Linked DNA regions of Lytechinus pictus. The protein of the gene in region 1 purifies or fractionates together with the protein of each later gene. This does not show direct contact. Links are inferred from orthologs where the notes say so. Each region holds a gene or a part of one and is shown on either strand. Other genes may lie near its edges.

What was found. Proteins that work in one complex are often made in the same cells at the same time.
Region 2: the proteins of histone deacetylase 6-like (region 1) and phospholipase A-2-activating protein-like purify together in Homo sapiens (affinity purification with mass spectrometry; 4 studies listed by BioGRID and IntAct, with this or other methods). This does not show direct contact. The link is inferred for Lytechinus pictus from reciprocal best matches to the Homo sapiens genes HDAC6 and PLAA.

Annotation. Positions count from the first base shown.
Region 1 is NC_087247.1:75,157,640-75,161,398, reverse strand, and holds the start of histone deacetylase 6-like, read left to right. Parts: upstream 1-1,505; 5' UTR 1,506-3,759.
Region 2 is NC_087255.1:20,579,231-20,582,989, reverse strand, and holds the start of phospholipase A-2-activating protein-like, read left to right. Parts: upstream 1-1,050; 5' UTR 1,051-1,115; coding exon 1,116-1,258; intron 1,259-3,759. UniProt on the Homo sapiens protein: Plays a role in protein ubiquitination, sorting and degradation through its association with VCP. Involved in ubiquitin-mediated membrane proteins trafficking to late endosomes in an ESCRT-dependent manner, and hence plays a role in synaptic vesicle recycling.

The DNA.
Region 1 (3,759 bases):
GTTAAAATCTGGTTTCAGTAAAGGTCAAATTGTTTCTTTTTTCACTAATTAAAGGTTAATTGATATAATATGGGCAAATATCTCGTCGTAATAGTGCTTGGTTATTGATGTTTTGTCATGCATTCAAACTTCAGTTTGTTTATTAATATGAAACATGAAAAGTTGATACAAATGAATATTCGTAAAATTTCACCCCTCGGATTTCTTCATTGAAACTGGCGGCTTCGAAGGCGGACATCAAAAAGGTCCTTATTGCCGTTCTTTCTTTTGTGCTTCTTTAGAAATGAACAGCTGCTTGAATAAATTTGTTGCCTGTTGGAACTCTAGTCATAGAATCTTCTTGGCTTAACCCAATCAGGGTTCCCAATTTTTCAAAACAAAAATCCCTGATTTTTCTATGATGAAGTTTAAAAATTCCCTGATTATTATTTAAACCTATTCCCAGTTTCTCATGTTTTTTAAGTTGTTGCAGTGGATTACTTGTATTATTATTTTTTTATATACATGTAGGCCTACTTTTATGTTTAATTATGTACCATGAGGCCTACTTGTACTGTAGTAAAAGAGGCTACACTAAAAAAAAAAACACCATAAAATGTCATTCAATGAATGTTGTTTTAATATACAACAAAATATAACAGTGTCTGACTGGCTATCGTGCTTTCGACTTTTGGGCCGATCAAGATCCCCTGATTTTGCCCTCATTTAAGGCATTTTCCCCTGATTTGAGGTAATTCCCTGATTTTTCCCTGACTGGAATAATAAAAAAGAAATCCCTTATTTCCTTGATATCCCTGATGGGCTGGGAACCCTGCCAATCCATTTTAAGGAGGAGGCGAAGAAGTAGTTAAAAAAACAGAATTAGAAGATTATATAAGATTAATGACTACTGTGGTGATAACTGATAAAGATCGGCAAGCGTAGGCTATACTATGTTATTACACGTCAGAATGAGTCATGGCTGCCACCAAGATGGTCGATGTGATGTTGTCGCAGCTAACCCAATAAACCTGTATAGTGTTATCAAACTGGTCTGTTATATGCCTCCAAACTCACTATTGAAATAACTAAACAAAATATTCATAACAATACATGATCTAATGGCTTTGTAACTTTTGGAATACCCAAGCTGGATAACTATTGCTTATTTTACATCAACTTCAAGTATTGTCCATAACATATGGTGCATACTTGTAACAATGATTTAAAAGAGGCATAAACATGTTTACCAGATACGTATCCACACAATTATAGTAATTCGTTCCTTTCTTCATAATGTTATTCTGATAAAACCCTGCCATTCGATCATTATAAGCTACAAGGTCCCCAACTTATTGTTCTTTAAATGTGCATGCAATGATGTAATGATGTGCATGCAATGATGTAATGATGAGTATGATATAGTTTTCATCATCATCTATATTATCGATATATACCGGTAGGCCTAATTATAAGAATTATATTTGATTAGAATAATTCATTTGATGAGCAACTATCTCGTCATCGATAGACTTTCACGTCGAGGTTTTGCGCCCAGCAGCCCTACCCCAGCTCTACCCCTCCGGCCCGTCCTCCGGATCCTGGCGTCATGTATTAACTGATCCATGATATGTATCCATTACTTACAATATTTGTTAATTCTAAAATCAAATAAATGATAATGAATTATTTGATTTGATTTGATTTGATTTGATTTGATTTTATTCACCAACGATAACAACATATTTACAGATGTTTACATATTACATTATTATGTCATGCATATAAATATTACAGAAATGAAACATACATGTATATGTTAAGAGCTGATAAAAGGGACCAGAAAATAGCACAAGTGCTAATCGAGCCTGGCCCCTATACATATTAGTAATATAGGCGAATATTGAACTTTAAAGTATGTTTTTTTTAAAAAAAACAACAAAAACAACAACTACAAAAAAAAAAAAAATAATAAAATTATGAGTGTAACATTTATGTTATATACAGAGCAATATGATAAGTTATTGATTTAATAAATGATTTTGTAATGAATTCCTGAAATCGTTTCTGGATACTTTTAGTTTGATGGCTAATGGTACATTATTCCAGTAATCACTTCCTAAGAAAGATAGAGAGAATTGTCCTTGAGTAGTCCGTAATTTTGGTAAATGTACTTGTCGACCTTCTTTTTGTCTTGTTGGGTATCTATGCTCTATTACATCGCAATAATCTACTAAAGAGTGAGGTAAGTTATTATTACCCAGGTCATACATGAAGGTACATATAGATAAATTGTGCATTTCAAATACATTTAGGATCTTTAAATTCTGAAATAATACACGTGTATGAGCTCGCCACTCACTGAATGTGATGGCACGTACTGCCATTTTTTGGGTGTAAAATATACAATTTAAGCTACTCTTGTAAGTACTCCCCCACACCTCGATTCCATAAGTTATGTGTGGCTCTATGAATGCCTTGTATAATAAATGGACATTAGACCAAGTGTGAATTAGACCAAGTGCCGATAAGCCCAACTGGGCATTAGACCAATTGGTGATTAGACCAAGTGGTCATTAGACCAAATGGATTAGACCATTTGGCTATTAGACCAAGTGGTCATCAGACGAATTGTATATTTGACCAAATGAGAATTAGCCCAACTGGTTATTAGCCAAAATGGAAATTAGACGAATTGGATATTAGACCAAGTGGGAATTAGACAAATTGGATATTAGCCGAACTGGTTGCAGACGAAATGAGTTTAGACGGTGTAATGTTAGAGGCGCACGGCCACTTTATAGTCTAAAGTATTGGGAGACTCTCTCCCATATTGGAGACTTGGGACAACGTGAGACAGGTTACTGATATATCGCTAAGTGGCAAAAACATGCGCTTATCGACAGGACTAGATCTAGGTTATCGATAACAGCACTAATTTGTTGTCACTTTAAATGATTTCCAAAAAGTGTTAGCAATAATAATCTAAAAGTATGTTTTTGAAGGTATTACATTTATTGGTGTCCATATTTTATCAAACAATTAGCCTGTAGCCTTGCGCATGCAATGAATTTAGACACAGTTATAAAACGAGCTGAATTAAGGTTGTGAATATCATTAGCACCACCATCGAGCTTCCTTTTATTCTGTGAAAGAGGATGTACATTAGAATGCAAAGCCACTTTCCAGGCCGAGGTAAGCGATTTTGCTCTTTTTTTTGTATTGGTTTTAACGTGCATAGGTTGTGACTCTCCTATACACGGGACCAACATTTGCGTCCTTTCCGATGGACGGAGTGTTTTCCAACTGCATTCACACCCTCACTGAACACAGCGGTGAGGCACGCTAACATACAATGCTAGCATAAGATTTTTTTTGTTAAACGTCTTCCGGCATGCTGCGGGACTCGAACCCACGCACGTTGAGATCTACGATCTTATCCGGAACAGGCGCTCTAACCGACTGAGCTACCCTGCCTCCTGAAGAGTTCCGGTGAGTAGTAAAAAGGTGTTTCGGCAAATTTTATTTCTGTAGTGTAATGAAGCGATGTTTGTCGACTTCTTCAAAATCCAGACCCAAACACGGTTCGGTGTGCGAGGTTAGTATAGCATACTAACCTCGCAATCGTATGAGTGGTCTAAAGTGTTACGCGAAGTCAGTGAAGTGTTCTGTCTTCCCGTTCTAGAGTCTTTCATTCACTCAGAGGTTGAAAAGTTCAAAGCATGTAGATTTTTTTTTAATTGTTTTTTACTTGTTGCTGCTTAGAAGTAAAATATTGAT
Region 2 (3,759 bases), on another chromosome or scaffold:
CCTGCTCCTACCATGAACAGGATCAATTTCTAACTAAAGAACTGATACGAATGAAAAGCGCTGAAAATATTTGATATAGGCCTATATACTGACCTTTAAAAGGGAACATTTCAAGGACTTTTTGTTGGAATTTTTGCTTTCCACTTTTTTTTCTTGGTCATTATTTTTTCAATTGAGTGGGAGGGGAGCATCCCAGAGCCCCCGCCCATCTGTATGGCACTGTTCAAAAGGCACCATAACTTTTGTAGCACATAATGAAAGGATTTGAAAAAAAAATACACGCTCTCCCATACTTCGGTTAGTAAAGAATTGTTTTTGCTAGAAGGAATATTCAAAGCTAGAGAACATATTAAAAAGAAACAACAACAGGACAATTCAAGCAAATAAATAGATTTGAAAATGATTTTTGACCGCATAATTTGAAAATTATGGCAAAGATAATGAAAAGGTTAAGGGGAAATCTATACTGATTAGCAATAAGTCCGATCATCATATTTCTCATTTTATGCCAGTTTGGCGCAAGCCTCCTTTATAACCCCAGACAAAAACATTCCGTGTTTGCTCAAGCATGAACAAAATTTGATTTTTAAAATGGCATTTGAACGATAAGACTTCAGAGCACATATTAACACCAAAATATATGGACATCATAATTTGAAACAAAAATTTTATAGACTTTTCAAATCTGTCCCGTTTTTTTTAATACGCACTGTATATGCAGTCTTCTTCCATGTTGGACAACGCTGGAATAGGGTTCAGCGAACCAAGATACCCCCCCCCCCCCCCCCCGCTTATCTACGGGTCTGATCTTGGAGCAGCACATACATGTAACTGTTTTTGTTAAATGTAGGATCTAAACGTTTTTTTACCCGATATTATATAGAGTTATTACCACCGTCGTGTAGTTTAATTTCAGTTTGTGCTTTTGTAAACACTGTGCTAAAAAATAGGTAGGTATAGGTATCATTTTTCGTCTTCCAGCTTTATAATCCTTATTGGTCGCACGCTATAGTCGCCGGTCGTAACACCCATACGCACACGTACGTACATACACGGCATACACCTGTGGCTTATTTGGAATGAATGAATGAGTCGTCAATAAAGCAAAATTCAACATGGCTCTGCCTTTCAAGCTTTCATGCACTCTTGCTGGCCACGAATCTGATGTACGAGCCGTTGCTGCTGGTTTATTCCCGGAAGGATCAATCATAACTGCATCCAGGGATAGAACAACTAGATTATGGGTTCCTTCTTTAAGGTAAATTAACAGGCAAAAAAAACCCAGACACACAAAAATAACAGACACCGCGCCGCAGTCAAGACAAAGTAACGTAACTTACAGACTTAAACTTCTTCTGCACTGCACAAAACTAGACACAGACACAGTTGCGCCACTCGCAGTCGCACTGCTAAGCCTAGGGCAATATGTACAGTACAGTGCGAGTCAGAAAAAATGTTACACTTTTTATTTCAAAGAAAATGTGGGTTTCAGAGAGAAATACATTAAGCCTGAGTCGAATCGATTTTAAAATCAGTGTTCGATCGATGTCATCGTCATCGACCGCCGATGCAGATTTTGCAAAATCGGTGCATCAAAAAAAAATTAAAAGAAATACGTCGGCCGGCCGATTCGTTTGGTTCACACAATCAATCATCAAAATAAACAGTAATGTCTAACTTTACTACTACTTGATTTATATTGCCCCCAAAATGAAACCGATTGTGTAATTATGAATATGATGCCTATTCACCATTTGAAGTTTATTTCGATCATACTTAGTTCTTGTCTGCTCGTGCCGAGATAATTTATGCACGATGAATTCATGAATGGAAGTCGCCATCGATCGTGCATGCGCAGTACTGTGCTTTATTATAAACCAGAAAATGGCCGGAAAATTGACGCGATCAACGTAAAATAAATCTTGCTTTCATGAACAATATTAATATCAATTATTACCATAGAACATGATTTAATCGTAATATTTAACAATATTATAATCTGCATATGATAATCATTAATATGAATTTAGATCTTGATGTGAAACGTTTGTATTTCGTTTCAATTTTCAATGACGGACATCACATGACGATCGACTTGAGTGAGTGCACTTGTCTAAAAAAATAATTATCACGTCAGGATTGATTCTCGAACATTGTCAACATGCAGAAACTCTTTTCAAGATCGTAATATCACCATATAGGCCCTAATAACATTTAACATGACAAAACAGAGAAAATTGCGTTTGATATTTTTTCCCATCAATTTGAAGCTAGTTTGTGCCTAGACCAAAAGCTTCGGTCTCTGTTATGTTGGTTGTTTAGCTGAACTCCGTTGGCTTCACTCACCAAATACAGAGACCGAAGTTCTAGCGTGATCTGTACAGGGGACTCAATGGCCATATGTTTATGTGTATTAAGTTTGGATAAAACAGGGCAGTGAAGTTGCGCGACAGCCGAGGTAAGTCACTGTTTTTGTTCCTTTTAACTTGATTTTCCCCGTTTTTTGGCAATTAATGCCAAGAGGGAATATTAATTTGCATTTCGGTCACGTTAATTTTCAAAAGTTTGATTCATTAAAGACAAAAATTGAAGAGCCCCGACAGGGGGATTTTGCATTGTAAGTCCCATAATGGTGGCTGCACGATAGCGAGCCGTCTGTGTATGAGGAGAAATTTAAAAAATAAAAACATGTTAAAAAACTCCTCGAAACAGACGGCTGCCAGCTGTCTAGTTTGTGCCCAACTTTGGGCTCTGATTTCATGAATGGAAAATATGTCATACGTCATCGAGCGCGCATGCGCATTGTGCTTCTTTTCTCGGAGCTCGGAGACGTCCAGAGATAGAATAAAAATAATGCCAGTATAATACTATCAATTCTTCCATATGAACATAACATACTTTGCTGACATCGTCAATATTTTTAGTATGGCCATAAAATTTTATTAAATCGTAATTATTTAACATCCAATAATAATTTGTATGAATTTAGAGCTCGATCCGAGACATCCCTTAATTTCGATCGCATGCTTTTGTGTCTAAAATAAAAAAATGGGTTATCATTATCAGGATTAATTCTTTAACATCGTCATAACTCATATTCTACAATCTTTCCTCACAATCGTTATATCAACATTGAATACCAATTCAAATGACCATCCAGAGAAAATTACATATTTATTCCCATCAATTTATTTGGAGCTCATTTTGGATCCAACTACACAATCTCAGGCTGCGGACGGGGCTGGTGTGTGCGAGTATGGACTGCGAATGCTAGTTGACCGAAAATCATTCGGATCGACTCTGCGTGATTCATGTCTTTAATATTGTTTCATTTTAAACTTATATGTTGTCATCTGCAAATATCATTGTTGAAGATATTTTGGGAAGAATTCTGCATTGGTCCCCGGCCTTTTTTGTGTTTTGTGATCATGGAAAATACAAACGAACTTTGCTCTGTCATCTGCTTGTGCAACGCTCACCCGGCGGCGCGGCCAGCGCTTCCCGCCGTCAGTCAGTGCATGCAGTGCATCGACCGGAGCAAAAAAAATTACTCGATTTTCCCCGCCCTCAAAATTTGATGCGTCGATGTTCGATCGAATTAAAGCTGTCGAACACCGGTTTTCAAAATAATTAATATGACTCGGGCTGAAAATACATGCTCAAACGTCATTATCGTGATCCAAGTCCCTGGTGACTCGGATACACGGACAATTTTTCACAACGTAAAACATGTCTTACCTGTCTCTACCAACCTCGTAG